3 linked regions of the Styela clava genome follow. The protein of the gene in region 3 purifies or fractionates together with the protein of the main gene of each other region. This does not show direct contact. Links are inferred from orthologs where the notes say so. Each region holds a gene or a part of one and is shown on either strand. Other genes may lie near its edges.

Region 1 (7,614 bases), on a different chromosome or scaffold from region 3:
TATGAACCTGAACTTAAGTTGCGTACCAGGTTAGGATTCAGGTTGTGCGACATCTTGGAGTGCATACTTCAGAGTACCCAAAATTGTATTCAACTATTAGGAATTCTGAATATCATTAGAACAACACTACTGGTCAAAGTATCTTTGATCAGGAGGATGATTTGAAAATAGATCATCAGCTAAACATCAGTTAAAACTTCAAATTATACATTGAACATAACAATCAACATTTCCAATTTGAAATACAAAGGCGGGCATAAACATAAAACATGATTTGTGTTTGTCCAAACTGAAAATGCATTTGAAACTTGGAACATTTACTTTGGAAAATTTTTTTGGAACAAACAATCATATGGATGCTCAAAGTCCTTTTCGCGGACGGAGCAAAGGGAGATTAGACATCAGCACTCCACACAGTTTTTTGGTTCTAGACCAGAAGTCAGAATCTTTATCAGCTAATGCATTCACGTTCTCCAATAACAAACAACCAGATAGATGTATCGAATGATCAAACCAAACTTCCATCATCCAATCTTTGCCTTTCAATACATTCTCTATTTCTGTCCAATAGAAGTTTTATCATGGGTTGCAGGTTTGCATCTGGTGATTTCTGTTAATAAATGCAATGTTTAGAAATATTACGACCAAGTACATTACAGAGTCAGGCAAGTCCCACTCAAATTAACCACTATCCAACAAGTATTCAAAATGAGAAAATTTATAATAAAAATATTAAAATCTAAAATCAGATTATGTGGTCCGACTATATATATTTCCGAAATTGATACGGTATCACAAGAGGCTGATTGATATTAGGATATATATTAAATCATTTCTAGTAATAAACTCAAACCATTACTAATTATCCTATATGCTTGAAACAAATTTTCACCAAGATCACACATCTCACTTTCACAACAATAAATATATATTACATCTTACCTCTTGTAACTTTTCAGCTTTGAGCATTTCTGTGAGTAAAGGTGGAGTCCTGAAGTACAGAGGAACTTCTTTAGTTTCTTTTGATTTTGGTACAAAATTCGTGAAGTGGGGTTCATCCAACTTAGGAATGAGTCTCCAACCATGCCTATTTATCTAAAAATAAAAGAAAAATACCCTGTGGATGATGTGCTGAAAAAAAGTCACACAGTGCGTCTGTGTGGTCCTGCAGTCAAATAGTTGAAAGCTGAGAATGAGGAGCTGTATATATGTGTATCTTTACAACAAATGCAACAGTAGCGTTAGCATTAAAAAATGAAATTACTTAAAAGAATCTTTGCTGATATAATAACGACTACTAAAATTTCTCCTCATTGAAATGAATCAGGATGTGTGTGAATTTATGGAGAAAGCACAATCAGAAAAACACATTTATTAGAAGAATAATGAAATCAGCAGAAACACATTAGACATTCATAATACCTTAGTTAGAATATTGGAAAAATTAGACAGAAGATAAATACCATATAACATGTAATTAGTGGACAACTCCATAATACTATTTCTTAAATGTTTGGTGAGCATTCGGGACATCAACCTCATTAATAACAAAACCTTACTCACTCTCGGAATTTGTTTTTCATATTCTTCACACCAACCTTTCCATGTGAATATCCCCCATGCTATGCCAAAATTCAGATCCTGTTGATACAAAAACATTTTCAATGGCTACTGGACGATAATATTTCACTGCAGCATAGGAAAATTTCTTAAATTTATCTCCTGTGGCATTTAATTCTAAAGAATAACACTAACTGTATTGGTAAGGACCCAATAAATGTGAACAATAATTGAATAAAAATTTGACAATGATAAAGTCAGTTTTCGGTAAAAATATTTTGTTCACAATTGTATTACAAAATCGTATATTCAATGTCATCCAACAAGTGTGCAGTTGATGCTGTTTTTCTTTATTTTTCTCAAGTAGAATATGCACGTCGAACACTGAAAATTTGTAACATAAATGACATACAATAACAGATCCAGATTTTATTAAAACACTTTCATATGTCCGAATCACGCTGCATCTCTCTTGTAGCAGAGCAATCACGATACTATCTCGATTCGTGAATTGAGCGATAGCAGGATAAGATCACCCAAAATTGCTTTGTAATCATTGTGACGTAACAAGCCAAAATTATAAATTATTATGTCAAACGTCACGCTGCGGTTAACCAGTTAATTTTACCCAGTAAACAGTTAAAGTGTTTTCCCTGGAATTCCCAGCCCCATTTACCATCTACTACTTGCCAGATACATTTATTGAATATCGATTTATTTTTACCTGTCCTACTCTCATCCATATTTAAGTTAATGAATAAACATGCCGAATCAAGTTGTTATGATACAGGTAATTACCGGCTCCTGATAAAAAAAAATTCTACAACCAACAAAAATTGGCAAATCAATAAATTTCACTTACATGATCATCTTGATCAACAAGAACTCTGGTTATTCTCCAGTAAGTCGGATCATCATAAAAACCAGTCATGTCTTGCTTGAAAATGAATAACCGTCCAACTCCCCAGTTTGGAAGCTACAAATGATAATAAAGAATAATTTTCAAATTGTCAAGTTATTGCAGGTCCAATTATTCTGTATGATTCAGCAGCTATAAGAAATTAAATCAACCTGTTTAAGAACTTGAAACAGAAGCTTTTCATTCTTTATATCTTCTACTGCTTTTTCTGGTGGCATTGGTATTCGCGGATCATTGAATATTTTATTCACTGGTATACCAAACTGACTTGCCACACTTTCCTGAGATAAAAATATGAAATTTGAAACTTTACATTTGCTGTTGAGTAAGCAAAACTTAGCTCTAGAAAGTGAAAAAACTTTTTCAAGTCTTATAGGAGACTCACCATTAATCTTTTGTCCAATATTGCCGCCCTATACCTCATTTTGTATAGTATTTTCAGTGTTTATAGTCTAGTACCTAGTGGAAAATAACAAACAAAAATATAGATATGATACATTTACAATTCGGCATATTAAATGAACATTTGTTTGCAAGTTTTTATACTTATTTAAAAAACGGGTTGTCCCTTTTCTATGTGAAAAATATAATGATAGCTTATGTGGCCAAAATACATTTTATAATGCTGGCCAACAATTCTTCATTACATTTTGATACTGCCACTCAGGTGGTCTCGGAACTATAGCGATGTGGGAAGTATAGTACTTAAGGAACTCTCAGTTTATGTATTACAGTTACCGCAATGTCAGCAAAATGTCAAAAGAATTGTGCTGAATGTCATATGGAATAGTAATAGAATTATCATAACAAACGATGTGTGGAGGTTTGCATTCGAATTGAAAAAAATCAGAAAAATTATTTTGGGTGAATCATCAGGCCTCAAAGTACTAAATTTGTAAAAATACAAGCAATAACCGGCACTCCTGAAGTATGCGCACCAAGATGTCACACAGCCTGAACCCTGACCTGGTACACAACCTGAGTTCAGGTTGTGCGCCATCTTGGTGTGCATACTTCCGGAGGTCCCAATAACCTCCATCCATCTTCAAGCACTAAAAAGATTAAAATGTATTCATCAATTATTTGCAAAGAGGAAACCAACAAAAACTATTTAGCAGCAATCCATAGATACACTTGGTATGCAACCAAGCTCTATCAATTTCAGGGTTCAATACGAAAGAATAATTTTGAGCACACACCACATTTTTGACTACCGTACTTCAGTTTTAAGTCAAGCAAAATTATGAAATGTGTCATTATTTAAAGGTTGACACAAATACTGATTTTCTGTTTGAAAACCATTCAAAGATTCATGCGCTTATCAAAAAACATAAAAATAAGAATTGTATTTTATAGCTTTTCAAGCTTGTTTCTATATTCTTCCCATGTCATACCATTAGCAGTTACCCAAGGTGTCTGGTATTGGGCAGGCTGCTCATACCATGATTTAATCATTGATTCTAATGTTTGAGTCTTAGTTAATGCATCTTTAGTTACACCCATGCCAGTTTTATATTTCCTACAAATCGACTCAGTGGTTTCTTCTGAAATCCCTTCTACTCTCTTAGCTAGATTAGTCACATGGCAACATTTTTCAGTCATGTTTGAAGAAAAGTCAGAATTTTCCTGCTGAAGATTCTCGGCTCGAGCAATTTCATGTTTAATATCTGAAATCCTTTGCAATAATGAACTTGGAGCTCTGTGGCCGGAAAATCGCAGTGAATGCCCACACTTTCGATAAGATAAGCTATTGGAGGTATATATTCCCAAATGACAGAGTGGCGTCAAACCCGCATTATCTAACATTATCCTCCGAATTTTATTCACATCTGCATGTCCCAAAAAGGAGCAACAAGTATGCATAACTGATAGTAAATCAGTGCAACTCTGATTAAGCCATTGTCGTTTCGCAATAATACAAGTTTTCGCTGCATTGATCACTTCAGACTGGCGTTCTTGTATCTTTGACTTGACTGTTGAATTATGTTTTATAATTTCAATAATATTTGTTTGATGAACAGCAAGGCTTTCAGAAAAGCCATCAATTTCATTCTTCAACTTCATTAGTTGGTTATGTTCATCTGTTTTCATTTTAATATCACGATGCAATCTAGCAAAAGAAGCTTGAAATGATCGAAGGCAACCTTGAACACTAGCAAACTCGACCTTGGTATCAAGGTCATCAATTAATAGTTGTAGAATTGTTGGTGAAAGATTGTATTCTGCTTGAAAGCTTTGAATAATGTAATTTCTTTCAGTTTCAGCTTGCAACAACATATTCTCTGCATTCCTTTCACTATTCAAACACTGCGTGAGAACTTGTACGCATTCGAGTTCCCAATTTTGAAGCATATTCTGAACTGTAGCTAGAGCATTTTGTTTTTCAGTTGTGTCTTCAATTCCATATTTAGCTCTTAAACCATCCAATTCTTCCTGCAAATGTATAGCTTTTTCTTCTTCAACAATTACGGCTGTTGATGAATCTACGAGTTGCTGAAAATTACAGGCAATCACATCTGAAGCAAATTTTTGCATCAATTCACGAATGAAACACCATTGGTTATCAATTTTATCATGATTTTTAGTTGAATTCAACTCTTTTGATTTTAGGTCATTTTCTAATTGTGAGAAAAGTTTGTTCAATGCTAGACTGCAAGATCGAGGCTCTGTGTCCTCATTGTGCTTAAAATAAGTAGCGCAAAGTTCACTAATCCATTTTTGATAAGATTTTAGCATAAAGTTTTTGTGCCTCAGATATCCGCTGGAATTACGATGTAAACAAGCTTTCATCTGATTTGACTTCACATCATCTTTGACTGCTTTTACTTTCAAATCAATATCCTGTGAAAATGTAAAAAAAATCAATCAGCAAATTTAATATAGGCCTACTTATCACATAATATGTATACTGTTGTTATAAGCTCACATAGGATATTTTTTAAGTTATCACAATAGATGACTACAAGAAAGTAAGAGTTAGAGAACAAAAATGAAAAAAGGAAATCTATTAGAACAGAGTCAATATCCATAAACGGTATTCTAAAAAGTTGGAAAGGAAAAAATAGTCGGTACAACTTTTAGAGGAATTTATAGAGGCACAGTCACACTGTGCATTATAAACAGTTATCAATTTCAATTTTTGTATTTTAGAAATTGTATATCCTGCAAATATAGTCTGCATTGTATTTTCACCTGCAAATCTTCTTTGTAGCTTTGAAGTTGAAGTTCCAGCGATTCAATTTCTTTATCTAATGCTGTAGATTCCCTCAAGTTTTCTTCAACTGTTGTATATGATCGTAATGCTTCGGCCATAAGATTTTCTAAAATTAGGTTTTTACGAATGTCACCCGCAGATTTTTTAGACTTTATCACATTTATTACATCCTTCCAAAGACTCATCATTGCTGTTCCTTTACAGACAGGAATCAAATCGGTTTGAATCTCCCTCTTGTCCGATCTCACAATCGATGAGAAACCCATTTGTTCCTTAGCCCAAGTCTCTAATTCGATTGCCAAAACTTTGTTTTCAGACATTATGAATTCTTCGTCTTAAAGCAGTACCGTAAGGATCAGTTCTAAATATTTTTTATTCTGTTATCAGAATATAAAAATGAGCAATTACCGTATACAAGTACCGGTACCGGTATGGCAATAAGTTAAATAATGAAATAAATACTTAGATTACAGGATTAGTAAGAGTACCTAATGCTTTGCTCTAGTGCATTCTGCATTGTACGGTACCAAGATATCTGAAATCACTGAATTCTAAAATTTGTAATGTCGATACAAGGATAACTTACTGCCAGTACTGATGTACTGGTACCGCTGTACCGGCACACTTACAGTTAATGTACCTACGTTACATCCCACCACTGATTCCTGGATTCCGTGATTGTCTTGTACGAAGCCGCATGTCAGACTGTGAAATCCTGCGGTACCGGTACCGGTACCGGTACCTATCGGCTGACCGCCAATAGAATTTTAAGACCGGTATCGTAGGTCTCCTTGCAGTTGTACTGGTGCAGTACCGGTACCGGTACCATACCGCCAGGCGGTTACCGTACTACCGGTAGGGTATAAAGAAAATCGTGTTTATCCGTCTGTCTTGCGCGTCCATCCCTATGCTGTTACTGTGGTATGACAGTACAGGTAGGCCTACCGGGTAATACACGATAGGTACCGGTAATGTACCGGTACCGTACCGTGCGCTCGACCTAACCTTGTCCTTGGGAGTAAACGCGTGCCTGGCCGCTGACAGTAGAAGGGATTCTCCCTGAATTCGAAACACTGCGCCGAAAATTTCATCAACCTTTGACCCAGAAAAGTTCGAAAAGCAATCACAATGGACCTTTCACCCCCCCTAAAATTCTGCAATACAAAGTTTTCGGGGCTGATTTTAGAGTGCTTCCGCCAGTTGGCGCCTGTAAAATGGGGTATGTGTTCCAAACCATCATTATGATTCATCGCATACAACAATCTGTTTTTTAAAAGTACCGGTGAATTTTTTTAGCCTAGTCTATTACAGCTATTTCTACACTAATTTCTTATTACTGCAATTGAATTAAAACTCCTGAGAAGACAGAGTGATCATTGAATTATCTGATTTATATTTAAGTTTCCGAAACACAACAGAAAACTAACGAATAGAGTTCAAAAACGCGAAAACGAGGTAATGTTTACGACCACGCTTGAAAATCTGTCTGAGTGAGAAAAGTGTCTGAGCGGATGCGAAAAGGGAGTATTGTTACGCCACTTTTTGCATCTTGCTGATTGGCCAATGTCACGAAGTAAACAAGGAAGTCAGAGGGAGAGAGAGAATTTATTATTTCGTCAACCATAAAAAAAAATAATAATAATAAATATAATAATAATAAAATAAGTGAAACAAAAGTTTTCGGTATGACTGGGAGGTAACGATACGACCAGTTACGGTCATCTGAGTCAGTTACCACCCAATACAACACATGAATAAATACATAAATTGCCACAGGTTCTTTTTTTTTAACTCTCAGTCTATAGAGAACTATTTGCACTATTTACAAAACGAGGATAAATTTTGGATTCATCTAATCAGGGTTGGGAATTTATTGTGCAAAATGACACATTTATAACAGTAACATAATGTGGTTTTTGTT
Region 2 (8,073 bases), about 17 Mb from region 3:
CGAGAGCTAAAGAGCTATATGAGGCATGGAGTCGAGTTTGATTTGTTTTTATCAGATTTTGATTTAGTCAGAATTTGAGACATTTCTTGGTGGCGATGGAAATCAAAATTTTTACATAGAAACTCAAAAAAATTGATTTGGCGAAGCGTTCCAAACATTCGTTGTGCGAAGCGTTCCAAACATTCGTTGTGCGAAGCTTGCATACAACACAGTTTATTTTTTGAAATTTGCATTCCCTAAAAGTTTGGAGCTGTAGTTGAAAAAATGACCCACAATAAACTGTAATTTTAATTACGATATACAGATTGAAGAAAAAAAGATTTTTTCTTTTTGAGGAAATTTGCTCAAAGCACGGTTGTCACATGCATTCACTTAGGAACTGAAAGGATTGATTGCTGAGCAAAGTTACAATTGACCACTAGAAAGCGAAGAGCTGCTAAAAATATAAAAATTACATGAAGATGAACAATTAGATTACAATTAGATGAAATTACACGTTAGTATATACAAATTGGTATAAAAATACTCAATTCCACATAAATGTCTTTTCTTTTGTCTGGTATGTGCACTGATTGTAAAGTTATTAACAGCCAACCATGTTTATCGACTGAAAACATTTGAGGGAAAAATTCTGAAAGTTCAGATCATAATAATAATTGTAACACTAATTCAGCATCCTGTTATTAACCACAGCACGACTAATCATAGTATTTTGATTGTAACCTTATATATATTTCAATAAGCATATGTAATATAGACAAGATAGTGTCAGCAACGAGATATCCATGATTCAGATCTATGATGTTGTTTCAAGCAACAGAATAGTACATTTGTCAGTAGTAATAAATAGTCACCAGGAAACAGGACCACCAATATGACATGCAATAGCTTTCTCTGTGAGTCACAAGTTCTTAAACCATACAGTTGCTTACTACTAATTTGCCAACTGGGCATCATGCATTGCATGTCAGTATACAGTGCCATGAAAATATTCATTCACATTACCATATCTGCACAAATGTATCCGATAGCCTCCAGTGCTCCCTCCTTCAAATGTTCAGTGCTTGTTTCTGCAGTCACACTTTGCACAAGTTGAGGAATAAGCTCTTTCCATCCATCTAAAGGTATTTCAGCACATGCGATTGATGCAATTACTTGTGCCGCTGATGAAGGTCTGTTAGTTTCTGTGCCCAATGCTTGAAGAACCTGAGATATTACAATAAATATTAGTATTGTGTCAACTTATCATGAGTGGAAAAGACCTTATTGTGTCAACTTATCATGAGTGGAAAAGACCTTATTGTGTCAACTTATCATGAGTGGAAAAGACCTTATTGTGTCAACTTATCATGAGTGGAAAAGACCTTATTGTGTCAACTTATCATGAGTGGAAAAGACCTTATTGTGTCAACTTATCATGAGTGGAAAAGACCTGGGCCCCTTTTATTAAGAGACCCAACAACCATGTTATTCTATTTTTTTAAAAACATTCTGAAATAGCAATAAATTGATTGAACTCTATTTCATACTGCATACAGAGATCTCACACTATGCTTTCAGCACCTGAAACATTTCACATAAAAACCATCACCTCATTGGAAAATGCTTATGGTAATGTAAAGGTCATACTTACCAGTTTTTTAACTTCTGATCGAGCTGCTTCATTTAGAGACAGCCAACGTTTCTGATTATCGAGCCTGGCAGTTTGGTCTTTTGAAGTTGTATAATTTTTTATCTTGAAAACATAAATGAAGGGTGATACAATTTATGTAAATTAACAAATATCTAATCAAACTTTTTTCAGATTCAAGTTGAGAGCATTCAACTCATCTAAAACATACACTCGATGAAAGTGGATGTCAAATTGTGTAACATGTAACATTATGATGCCATGGATATTTTTGAATTAGCAGAGTAGCAATAGTGTTTAGTGTGACTGTTATATAGCATCAATCAGAAGTAAATTGTAATTCACATTCATGGCTTTGCAGATTTTGGTACATTGACGAAATGAATGTGTGCTTATGAACAGAAAAATGTGCATTCATCAATAACATCTGCGGATTGTACAATTTTGAAAACTTATTATGTGATAAGTGTGCCGCAGTTTTTTGATTTTTTAGTGCGCAGCAATCTAAAAAATATTTGACAATCACCTGCAGACCAGCAGCCATTCTCGAAACTTGGCTGTTTCCAGGGTTTGCCAAAACTTGACATAAGCTGACCAGAAATTCCGCAAGACTGCTTTGTGCGGCTTGTTCCAGAAATCCTTGTGCCTGCTTAATATCATTTGGGTCTGAAAAAGAATATGAATACAATACTTTATGAAAACCTTTATATTCTAAATTTCCCCAGGTTTTTTTTCTAAATTCTGTCACAGGTGTATATATATATAAACTATTACTATTACCAGTAAATATTAAATTTCAGAAATTTGCAAAAAAGGATAGGAATACGATTTTCATATTTGCTGCAATGAAGGATAGGTGGTAATATCGACTAATCATGTGGCGCATCCTGTACAAGTCAGATATGGAAAAAGATAACCTGTTATTTGTTTCAGATGCATGAGCTCGATAGTGGGAAAGCCGTAACTGACCAGTGGTCAAGTGAATTACACTACAGCACTACGGAAGTGAGGAGTCCAGCAATTCTCCCGGCTCCCACGTAAAACTATGAGATTCAAACATTCGAATTCACACAAGTTAATCACAGATGCGATGGAAAGCTTGTTCCTAACACAGTGAATGTTGCGCCAATCATCGAGCCATGATTTCATGAAAACGATTATTCAAAATACAAGCTTAATTAGAGAAATAATATTTATAGCAATAAAGTTACCCGGTGACACAGTCTTATCCAAGATTTCCACAAGAGTCGCCATTTTACTGAGTTTGTAAGCTTATTCTTAAAATTGAAGTTCCAGAGTTGCAAATAAACTAAAAAAAACTATGCCAGCCCTTGAAATTTACAAAATCCTATTATCCTGAAACAAAATTCTTTAGTTTTTAGCTCACAGCAGCAGAAACTCCATAAGCGAAGATTTCAATTTTTTTTGTAGGTGAAAATGCATCTACCTTTTAGTAATACCTAGGTGAGCTATTCTCAAATATATAGAAACTACTGCATAACGGGTACAAAGGCTGCTCATCAACACACAGTAGGGCACAGTTCTCAGATTTCAAGATGCTCCCACATTTGGAACAATAAAAAAAAACACTCTATTTAACTCTGATACGAGGGCATCTGGCACGACGACACGTCAGATCGTTCCATGATTGTCTCGATAATATTTTAAATCAATCTGACCAAAATTGTTCCTTTGCCAAAAACTCTTGAATGCTATGGACTATGGTAACATATTCTTCCTTTGGTAATCATAATTTTGTTTTTCGACAAATCCAATAGCAGAATAGTGACGTTTTTAGATTGCATTTCCTCTTAGTTTATTGCACAGTTGATTTGTGGCAATATAGACACCACGTAAATATATAGATGTCTCATAAAAATGGGATTCGCATTCACTGTTATAATTGATGTGTATTAATGTGAGGCTATGCTCCTGTGCTTAGAATCGGAGAGCTGTGCCATACGGCAGTAAGGTAAGCGCAGATTTGGCCTTAAAAGATTGACAAACAAGCAATATCAAAATACCGGAATATAGAGGCATTTGCGCTACAAAAGAATACATGTTCAACTTTAATTTTTGATAAAAACTTGGTTCTATATCCAGATATGCCTTCAAAAACGCTTCCCAGTGACTTCTTCCATCTTGATGAAAATTCATGAAATTTTAAATCAATTGCCTCATACAGGCAGACAGGCTTAACTTTCAAATAAAACAAAATACAGTAGGGCACACTATACAAATCGGGTGACATTGTCCCGTTTCAGAGAAACCCATTTTACCGATGATCAGACACCCCTACTTTGGGAGACGTCTGGACATTGTTGTCCCTCAATATCAGTAATAATACAGTATAATGAAGTTGCGCAAAAAAATGACAAAAACACAAACTTCAGAACTTAGTTAAACCAGGCTTGGAGCAGAAATAAACAAACAAAATACATGATTGTAATAAACTTTGGGATGTTATACTTTCAAAACACTCAAGGCTTAAGCTAATAATGACCAAGTCAATCCGATACCGGTAATGCCTCATTTCTGTATTTTAAATGTCTGGAAAGGATGAAAATATACAATTTAATTCATTACAAATTCTTGTCTAAACAATTTTGATATCAATCAATCAATTTTATTTTGGTCCCTCTGACATAGGCTAGAACAGTAGAACAAACAACAGCAAACGGAGGGCACATCCAGATCCAGAGATAGCAAAAACATCTGCATTCACCAGTTGGTCTTGCTGCCTTGTGACTCGCAAACGCTAAAACCTGTTCACAAGGCATTGTACGGTATTCTATCACATTACATAAAATAGGCGTACCTCACTCTACTAGGGCCACTCTAAATACAAGATGAATAGCACAATTTCCATGTAAAACTCAACCAGAAAGCATGACCCGGCCACAATACAAGCTTTGGTGGAGGTACTGGTACAGGAAGCCACACATCGCGCCTTATTCGAACATTTCACCACCATAGCATGACGTCATGGAATCAAAATGATTTTCCCCGAGCAGGGTAGCGTACCTAACTCAGATGCGTGATTAGGTCGTATGTGTTTGGTAAATTAGCAATGTGTATGGACGTGTATAGGAGAAAAATGTATTGCAATAAACGGGGCTTTCAAACTGAGAGCCCCGATCCCCCAGTGGGTCGCGGAAGGGCTCGATGTGGGTTGCGGTACCGGTAACAATTAATGTCGGAACCAGCCATAGTTACTTTTCTTCCTTTTTTCTCTATTTATCCTTGTAAAAAATTTACAATAACTTATGTTAAATCAAGATATCGATCAAATTTGAAAGTTTTAGAACCAGTACTGCGATCCACCATCGCGAAAATAGAGCCAATAACGAAATTTAAACCGCCCAAAAGTCTGTCATTCCATCACTAATAAAACTCTTAACCAGTAATTGTCAGTTTGGCGCCAAAGATGGGGAATCATCCATCTTGAAGGATTATTCGACCAGTACCACTTCTCCCTTGGTGCAGAAACAAATGCTACCGTAAATATATACTACAAGATGCTACTGTGGAAAAATTGAACCAAGCGCTCCTAAATATTGAGCATATTAATCGCACTGACCCTCAGTGGTTCTTAAACGATGGTGCGCGTCCCACAAGTAGGGTATAGACAATTTTTTGAGGGACGTGAAGCTAATTAAATATAAAAACATTTGTTAGATTTGATTTTGCCTGCCTTATTCTGAATATTCGCATTTCTTTATTCTGGATATTTACGTTCCATTCATGTAATTTTAACGTGTTTTTGAATAAAACATACTTTCGTCTTACTATCTGTTATTTTCAGCTTATTTTTAGCTAGTTACTTTTGAGGTGGGCGCGAGACTTGACAAATTCTCAAAAAAGAGCGCGTCTTAAAACGTTTGAGAACCACTGCACTAAGTAGCCTTAATTGCCGTAATTTTATGCCAACTAGCCCTGAAAATACGTTCCAAATTGCTTTTGCAAGCCGTTCGCAAATTTCACCAAGCATGCGATCATCTCACCATCAGTTGTTAAAAACAACGGTACGTTATGACGAAATTTCAGGCGATACTGTGGTTTTCCTCCACCAATCAACTAATTTGAATAAATTGATGCAATGAATAAGTTTAATTCACTAAAATTACAAATATTTCAATTGCGTAGTAGGAATGATCTTGGTATAGCAACAGCAAACGTGTTCAGAAAAACTCTCTGGTACAGAAATCTGCTCTCAGCAATTTTCTTCTGTACCGTCATAAATTCTGAACATATTTATTGTTATTATACATACCATTTCTTGTAATTAACACTTTACTCTATAATGAAAAAATAAATAAGAAGTTGTAGAATTATTTAGGAAGAATAATTTAGAATATGACATAGAACAGATTAAGGTTTTTGACCGTTCAGACTGTCGTCAAAAAAGGATTGTTCTCAATTTCGGTAAAAACTAATGAAAATCATAATTTTTGGTTCTCTCGTATCATTTCCACTAAAAAGTTTTAATTAATATGATATTCTCCTAATTTCGAGATAATGCAGATTTACTGTTTAGCCAGTATTTTTTATTTATTTTTTTATATATATAGAATAATTTTTATTAATAAATTATGTACAAAAATAAACACATAGACCATATATATGAAGTGATATAAATTACGCCAACCGATAAACACAAAATAAAATAAGTATTTAAATATTTTGTTTCTTCTATTAACCTATAACATAACGTAGATCAGTTGGTCTAACATTAGTTTCGATCGAACTCTATGAATTTTAATGCCAAGGAATCGACGGGCAAAAAATTTTAGTTTTACATTTCGCACATAACTGTAACTTGCTGCATTTTAACGTATAGGTGTCATCAGTTTTAAGCGTGAAAATTTGGAAAGTTTATATCATGATTCTGGGAGAAAGATGCTTTGGTAGTATATATAGAAGGAAATTACTATTAGGCTACCCCTATTTTCTTTGATTCATTTCTTTAAAAAACTAAGACGGGTCAAAGTTCAACATCGTAACAGAGTCGGTTTGTCGTCAGAAAGGGTTCGGGATCATTATCATATCGACGCACAATCAATCTATAATAAGTGTTTTGAACGATATCACACCACGTTAATGTCTACTCAGATTGTTGCAATATGTTATTCAGAGCTTTTTGCATTTCATCCACTTTAAATCCCAGAGGTCCTTTCGCACTGATATATTCTAAGCAACCGTTGTAGATAATTGCCATACGATCCGGAATCGTACCATATTGCTTCGTTGCCTCATTTTCTATTCCATCCAACACCAAAGGGCACGAAAAGTAGTCTTTAAGATTTTCTGCGGCAGACTGACGATTCTGGAGACTTTTATGAAGGGAAATGTGGTATCTGTGAATGTATACAATGTTAATTAACAAATAGAAAATAAAACAAATTTGTATGTCTATTACTGCCCCGGGTGTCGCAACCGAGAGCAATGTGTATTAAAATAACGAATTCATAATTATTGAAAACAACATATCAGCAAATTGTAGACCGTACTGTTTGCAGAGCAACCATTTTGTGTACAAGCTCTGCATTTCACCGTAAACCCTGCACTTGACAAAACTATCAAAATACATGTAAAAGAATCGTTTTCCTTGATTCTACCTGAAAGCAGTTTGAAAATGTAATTATATCTTTATCGACGTCCGGAGCGTACTTACTTCATGCTTTTCATATGCCAATTACTATCAGTGGCATGGGCTTCTTGAACGTATATTACTAAAAAATCAACTTTCGAACGATATTCCTCTATAAGAGCAGGGAGACGTTCAATCCCGCTGATAAACGGAGGTCAAGTACATGATCCAAAAATGAGGACCAGTGGGCGCCCAATGTTACTGTAGTCTAGTATCCTGGAAAGGAGAGAATGATCTCATTGAAATAGGTAACAAAAATTGTAGTTATAAGTATTGATATACTATATGGAATTAGTAAACCAATGTTTTCTAAAACATGTCCTGGTGCCAACGGAAGGACTTAACCTTTTTGCTTGTACTATGAACACATAATATAGTTTCATCCAAAAAAAAAAAATGATTGGATTTTGAATCTTGATAAAATTGATCCTAGTACTCTAATATTTTACAACTTTAGTTTATATATATATAGGAAATTCCATTTCAAATAGGAGAAATACATCTATTTTTAAAGACTCACTTCTTTTTTTCTAAAGTTTCATGATCGTAAATTGTTGAATTCGGTGCTTTTCGTCCAATCACTGCAGTTCTTTGAATGTCCAAAAGGTATTTTTTACCTACGTGTCGAAGAAAACCCAATGTGCTAAAATTGCGGTAATAAAAGTTAAGACTGTCAGTGGAGAATTGCATTGTTCTATCTACTCTTTTTTAACAAGAACTTAATCTGAAACTCGAACGAGTTTGATTTGAATAAGATATATATATATAGTGAGACTCCCAAAAGAATTTCGGT
Region 3 (7,302 bases):
GCAATCTTTATTACATATTAACACACCAATCAGATCAGCTTTACTAGTTCCAAGATTTTCTCCACGAATTGTGATCTTCGTTAGCGGCGTTCCAAATTTTGGAGAGACTCCTGTCACAACTGGTGGTGGTCCCATTATGACCCTTGACCCCTTTCAGGAAATCTAATTAACTACCAGGCTGTACAAAGAATTAATATCACTGATTCATTACATTGAAAGAAGAAAATACAGACGGAAATGGCCACCATGTCCGCGATTAGATGGCAGGTTTTTTACAGGAATATTCACTTAAAACAGTGCCATAATGACTTACGATGAACTCAATTAATGAGGATGTTCACTTCCATTACATAACTTGACAATCGCAATAATAAAATCACATGCGCCAAGCCGTCAAAATTATCACCAATTCTAAAATTGCAACCAGCATTAATGTAAAATTATTGCGTCATAATCGCTGTGAAATTCTACAGTATTTATTTAAACAAATATGGAATAAAGTACAAACCACATACAGTGGTAAATCAGTTTGGATAAATAGTATGCTGTTCAGCAATGTTTTTTTCACTGGTTGGGAGCTACTACAAAACAATCGTCTAAGAACAAATAACAAGAAAAAAATGACTGTTTCAGACACCACAGAATACAATGCTAACCCATTATAATTATATACATACAAAACAGTAAATACGACAATTACTAATGTTTTTGTATTTGATTCTACTACGGAGTCATGAGCGGGAGTTAAATTTTATCATAAATCCTGAATCCAAAATTGCATACTTGATCGGACCGTGCAGACCTGGTGAAAATGGTGCTTGAAAAGATAGGTCTTTTTTTCCATCCCCACCATATTACCAATTTAATTTTGAACCTTTTATAGAAAGCTCTCGCCACCTTGAAAACAACACCCTCACCTGCCCTGTTTTAGGTAATTGTAGGTTCGCTAACCCTGACATCTCTGAATTCACAGATGAATTCTATCATTCTTTAATTGTAATTGGATAATCACCAATTTTTTATTATTTTGAGCGCTGGGATGTTTTTTTGTCAGAGGCTTTCTACAAAAGATCCCAATTTTTCAGACATGTCTTACAAAATCGAAGAGGACAAGATGTAACAGGTATAAATATACTGAAATCAGGAATATGTAGTACCTTGATTCAGGCAGTTTAACAACGAGATTCCTTTATTGGAAAACCATCAAGGTTATAAATCGGAATGGGTATAGTAATATTAATATTGACAATATGGTCTTAGCGACATAAGCTATCTGGGTTTGGCTTAAAACAAATACAGAATTTATGTATTTGGGAAATTTGGAATTTTATTTAATAATAAACAATCAAATTGTATACCTAGTAATTAGTAAATGATTGACTAATATGGTTGGAGTCCTCAATAGTACAGGGAGTCTTATTTTGATATGGTCATAACGTCGTAATCCAACTGGGTTTGGCTTGCAACAAATACAGGTTTTATGTATTTGGACAATTTGGAAATCAAATTTTATTTTGTATAACTGGTAATCAGTAAATGATTGACTAATAGGGGTCAGAGTCTTAAATAGTATGAGGAATCTTCTTCTAAGTGATACTTCACTTATTAATGTTACAACAATCAACTATTGGAAAATAGTATCTTAACACTTTCAAAGTCTTTGCATGTGGGGAGGGAAGGCATTTATTACCAACAGTTGTGCTTTATGAATAAATACGGATTAGAATATATTTTAATGGGCATCCTAGACAATTGACAACTTAAAAACGAGATTTAAACACTCAGAGCTAACAATAATTGAACCAGATAATAAAATAAGATACAATCAAAACCTCCTAAATTCAACAATACACCTAAATTTAGCAACTGGAATTTGGACAATATTTTTTATCATTGTATATCCATCACCTGCGTATTATCATTCTGATTCCATAGTTTGTCAAATAATTTATTCAAATACCCTCACAATAAAAGCCAGATAAAACACAAAGAATGGCAGACTGAATGAAATAATAAAATAGTAAATTAATGCGAAACAGCAATTGTGACAATATTAGACAGGCTCAAAACACATAAGCATAAAAACAGATGAATGAATTTTTTACCAAGCTAAAAAAATTTCATGGTGAACTTTTATTCGTAATAAAAATGTTTTCAATAAAATGCCTCGCCAAATACAGAGGATGAACTAATTCTTGCACCAGCCATCTTGAGTCCAATAATATCCTGGCTTTCTATAGTTTTTTGGATCATATCATACTCTCTCGCCAAAGTTTTAGACTTTAATACATTCCATCAATGTTTGAACTTCTCGGTTTCTTGATTTTTTCGATATTCTTTAGAATCAAGTCATGAAGAATGGAATAATGATTTCTCAGCTCACACACTATAAGTCTCAAGCTAAGAAATTCTTTCTCATCGATCTCCTCAACAAAGCGACGATAGTCCTCAACATGAGGATATTTTGCTACTTTGGTGATAATTTTACCTCTTGTGACAAAATATCGTGATATTTGATCTAGAAATGAAGCCGCTTCGCTTTCAACTTGTCTCAACTCTGCAAGAGTATCTTCTTGAATTGAGACTCCAAAATTATTTCCGTCTTCAATTTTTGGAATAAGATGAGTCACCCACATTCGAACAGTATTAACTTTTTCCATCAGTAGACGAATATCGGGTTTTATTCGATCGATTATTGCTATTAGATTTTTATTGCAGGGCACTGGACCACAAGCAAATGAAAATACTTTGGTACCATCAATGTCACCTCCCGGTCCTACATCAAGTTTACGTTTTTTGGGGCTCGTAACATGACCATCAACGTTATTAAAGTCTTGCACAATAACTGCATTTGGAATGGGAATTTCAAGTTTTTGTGCAATGTTTCTGACGTTTTCAGTCTGTAAAACATCTTCTTTTAAAAATTTATCTAGTTCAATACATTTCTTTGGAAAAAATTCATTGACTAAAATTTCAGCATCTTTAGCGATTCCAAGTTTAAAATCAGAAATTTCTTTCCTCAGTTGCTTATCCTTGATTTGTAAATCTTGATCCATTATTTTATTTTGATATTTTAGTAGTTAAATACCTGTAATACAAGAGTGTGGAAATGTGAAAAAAGCCCTTCTGCTATCAAATTCAGCAATTTTTACAGTACTGCAGTAAATAGTTTTAGTAGGCCTAAGTAAAAGGCTTATACATAAAAACATGAAAAACGCTAGTACTGTTAGTTTCTATAGGCCAGTGGTCTATCTGCCTGTAGCAAAATTTACAAATGGTGCCGGCCAGCCGGTAGTGTAAAGGCAGAGTAAGGGTTATTGAATTATAGGGGTAGTCACTACAGCAGCCTTCCGAACTGAGAAAAACTGACCAAACTATGTTCTTTCGGTACCGGTTACGAACGTATCGGCAGCCTATCTCGATTCCAAAACTCCAACTCTGTCACCACTGCACTTGCACGAATCAATGAGAATTCTTATCTATTTTTCTTGGTTTCCCGTACTACTGAGGAGCTATACACTACCGGTAATATCGTCTTATATTGAGATATGAAAATTAAAATCTCAAAACTTTCAGAAAACAGCCACTCGCAAAATAAATCTTTTTAGCCCATCGTGACTCATGGTATTGCGCGGAGTCAATTCCGGATAGAATAAATTCCAATGTCATTCGTAGAACTGGGAAGCGCAGTCTTTGGATTTGAATCAATATTATAATTACTTGTCTTATATACACTGAAAACGGAAACAACCTAACGTTCTTCACGGATAATTTGCTTCAAGCTGTGATAAAGTGATAACCGGACTGGGTAGTGTGCGAGTAACGAGGCTCCAAATCAAACAGACCTTAGCACGTCGTAAGATAATACTGCTGTCTTTCCTAAAAACTACGCAACAAGCTGATTAAATAGTAATTTGTAGCGCCGGAATCGTAAACCGTTTAACCGTTAGAATCACATTTGGCATCGCACCGCTGATTTCCCCGTGTGGGTCAGCAGGTGCGCATCCTGTGAAGATAATTATGTGCGAGAGACGTCCCAGACTCCTCGTCGTCGCAGGGTGGTTCACGTTTGTCAAAGAAACGAGAATTTCCCGCGGCCGATATGATTAGCCTGGTGTCACTCAATTCGACTTTCAGTGTTGTCGTGCTGATGTGATTCGTAATGATCCGAAAGCATAATCTCTCTGATTTTCATCGTTTTTTGGATTTGGATTTCATTGCATGTTCTGGTGCCGTGGCATTTTATTATAGCCTCGAGTTTCTCAAAATGTATCTAAATTTAACGTACTATCCAATCTACTTAGGTGATTAGCGTACGTATCCTCCATTATTTACCATATTATAGATGTGACAATATAATGCAATGTAACTTGTAATGCATCCTAGTATAGAAAATAGGACGTCGCTTGTCAACACCACTTTTTTATATTGGAAACTATTAATAACAATTTATATAAAACGATGGGAACCCTTTGTACAAAGTTCCCACCAGAAAACATCCCCTCCGAGGAATAACTCCAAAAGCAAGCAATAACGCGAGAAAACATTTAAAATACCTGATTAAAGTTTTTAAGGTTTGTTATTCAAGCACCAACTCTTCAATTTCTTGTCCAACACAATATAATTTTTTGCGCATAAAATTATTTGTGATCGAATTATTCAGACGAAACGGTTTACTTTCAAAATTACGAAAGCCAGAACGATTACCCTAAACATTTTATCGGCAATGTATCTGGTCAAAGTATGTTTGAATATTGAAATAAAGTTCTAGCGCTCTACTGGCTGAGGATTTGATCAAAACATATGTTGTCATTTTGTTTGTGATATTTTGATTAGGCTTCATCTCTAAATGCGGATATCTGACCTTATAATGTGCTGGATCAATGAGTTTGGCTGGGGGTGGTAAACGTACTCTTATTATGGGTACTATGTAGTACTTTCTGTTTGTATTCCATCGATCTGAGATGATCCCATATAAATACATTACAGCCGTATTTACCATTACAGTATAGGGCAGGGGTGTCAAACATGCGGCCCCAGAGAACTTCCAATGCGGCCCTCGAACGCTTAACAATAATTGTAATTATTTTGTAAGTATTTTTTATCTAATTGATTATTCACACACAAAAAGGACAATTTACAAAAACTAGTTTTGAAAAATTGATTTTTTTATTTTCAATTTGACCCAATTATGGATACACTTCAAGCTAGCAAAAAAGAATTGAAAAAAACAACACTTCAGGAACTAAATGAAACGCAATGTACACAAAGAAATTGGCATTTTCGAAAAAAAGGGGGTTGCAATATTTCTGTATTTCTCAAAATTCTAAAGCACATTGTTTAATTTGGCACATTTATTTTTATGTGTTTATATTATAATTATCGTACTACCTAGTTACTAAAAATCAATATATATAAATCATAATCCAAGCGGTCATATGCCACGTGATGCCAATGGTCGACCCCCCCCCCCCCTTTTGGAATGTGTAAAAACGACGACTAATAGGCGCGACTTGCCACGCGCCGAATAAGCGCATGAAACTTTATGGCTCCGGATGCCGTGGCAAGTAGAAGCGATGTGATTGTGACTGAATAAGGCGATTTATGGACCTTTCCCCGACCTTTGACCCCCATCAATTTTTTCCTATACTTAACCATCGCAAAATTTTTGGTGCTTATTCAAAGAGTGGTTTTGCGAGTTGGCGCCTGTAAAATGGGGTATTTTGCTTCAGACCATTATTCTGATTCATAGCATTCCACAATCTGTTTTGTAAAAGTACCGGTGAAGAATTTTAGCCTAGTCTATTGCAGCTATTTTCTACACTAATTTTTTATTACTGCAGTTAAACTGAAACTTCTAAGAAGACAAAGTGATCATTGAATTATTTGATTTACATTTAAATATTCGAAACAGAACTAAAAATTAACGAATAGATTTCAAAACGCGTAAACGTGGTAATGTTTACGGCGACGCCTGAAAATCAGTCTGAGCGGATGCGAAACACGTCACTCTTTGCATTTTGCTGATTGGCCAATGTCCCGAAGTAAACAAGGAAGTTGATGCTCGGGGAAACATTCAGTTCTCTTAGAAACCTTGCGTTTTGAGGCCTCCGGCCTGTTGCTCTTGCCAGACCACCTTTTGCTGTCAACTCGGCGCCCCGAAAGTATTCGTACCAAGATGACGCACAACCTGAACCCTAACCTGGCACACATACTATCTTCAGGTTGTGCGACATTTCGTACACACCTAAATTTCAGAGCTCCCCCCCCCCCCCTCTTTGAAAATTCCTGGCTACGCCCCTGCTCGTTAATTAGAGTTGATACTGTGAAATCAATTCAGCCCGATATTAGTAAGCTGGTGGCACAAAAGATGCCAAACGTCAGGACATATATAATAAAAAAAAAAAACATGGGAGTTTATTCGTTAGTCTTTTAGGGGTATATATTTAGATTAAGTCATTTTTATTATGTATTATTCTTTTATCAAATCTTTGTTCAAAAATGTTTTGGATAGTTGTAAAAAAAAATTGTTTTTTGGAATAAATAAATTTGCAATAATAAGTGAAATACCAAGAAATTATTATGTAAATGCCATTTAAAATTTCAGAAAATAACAACTTCATTCGGCTATTTAATTGCATCACAATATATGTCACACACTACACATATCTGAAAATATGCTTTTAAGTATACATTATCAAAATATATCAAAAGCTGTTTGCGGCCCTTTGCACAATTCCCAAAATGCAATGCGGCCCTTGAAAACGCACGAGTTTGACACCCCTGGTATAGTAGGCCGCGAGCCGAGGCCATGAAAAACGCCTAGAAAGTGAGTTTCGTAGCGCACATCAGGTAACTACCTGAAAATGATTTAAAAATGTTCCTTAAAAATGTAGTAACAAATATTGCCTTGTTCCCACTTCCAAAAGTTGCACGTTTTACGGAAAAGACGCTTTTACTACAAAAAATCTGTGCTACGATCTGTCCTATATTCTCTACATTTTCGACAATGAACAATGACTTCTGCATGACGTAACAATTGAATCGAATCAGCTGTTAGCGAGCGGATGAATATTAGTTATTACTGCTCGAGCTTGCGTTGAGTTGGGCAGCCTTTCCATAGCCCTGTTTAGTTATTATTAGTTAAGTTATGCTAAGACGTTATTGAAAAATGTATAAGTAAGTTATTAAACTCTTGTAGATCCTTACAACGGATATGGGCCGTGAGACGAAGCCTTGAAAACGCCCAGAAAATGAGTTTCGTAGCGCACATCTGGTAACTAAATAAATCCTTCAGTTTAG

The links. Proteins that work in one complex are often made in the same cells at the same time.
Region 1: the proteins of proteasome activator complex subunit 3-like (region 3) and small ribosomal subunit protein mS34-like purify together in Homo sapiens (co-immunoprecipitation; 3 studies listed by BioGRID and IntAct, counting the BioPlex papers as one, with this or other methods). This does not show direct contact. The link is inferred for Styela clava from reciprocal best matches to the Homo sapiens genes PSME3 and MRPS34.
Region 2: the proteins of proteasome activator complex subunit 3-like (region 3) and importin subunit beta-1-like purify together in Homo sapiens (affinity purification with mass spectrometry; 3 studies listed by BioGRID and IntAct, with this or other methods). This does not show direct contact. The link is inferred for Styela clava from reciprocal best matches to the Homo sapiens genes PSME3 and KPNB1.

What each region holds. Positions count from the first base shown.
Region 1 is NC_135257.1:12,544,961-12,552,574, forward strand, and holds the start of small ribosomal subunit protein mS34-like, read right to left. Parts: upstream 3,005-7,614; 5' UTR 2,904-3,004; coding exon 2,865-2,903; intron 2,761-2,864; coding exon 2,632-2,760; intron 2,537-2,631; coding exon 2,423-2,536; intron 1,642-2,422; coding exon 1,564-1,641; intron 1,096-1,563; coding exon 943-1,095; intron 611-942; coding exon 509-610; 3' UTR 1-508. Other genes in the region: uncharacterized protein LOC120345794, read right to left, coding at 3,830-5,320, 5,672-6,013. UniProt on the Homo sapiens protein: Required for mitochondrial translation, plays a role in maintaining the stability of the small ribosomal subunit and the 12S rRNA that are required for mitoribosome formation.
Region 2 is NC_135250.1:22,447,573-22,455,645, reverse strand, and holds the start of importin subunit beta-1-like, read right to left. Parts: upstream 3,005-8,073; 5' UTR 2,885-3,004; coding exon 2,842-2,884; intron 2,297-2,841; coding exon 2,157-2,296; intron 1,736-2,156; coding exon 1,634-1,735; intron 1,207-1,633; coding exon 1,006-1,206; intron 1-1,005.
Region 3 is NC_135250.1:5,803,953-5,811,254, forward strand, and holds proteasome activator complex subunit 3-like, read right to left. Parts: upstream 3,108-7,302; 5' UTR 3,057-3,107; coding exon 2,283-3,056; 3' UTR 179-2,282; downstream 1-178. Other genes in the region: exocyst complex component 2-like, read right to left, coding at 1-135. UniProt on the Homo sapiens protein: Subunit of the 11S REG-gamma (also called PA28-gamma) proteasome regulator, a doughnut-shaped homoheptamer which associates with the proteasome. 11S REG-gamma activates the trypsin-like catalytic subunit of the proteasome but inhibits the chymotrypsin-like and postglutamyl-preferring (PGPH) subunits.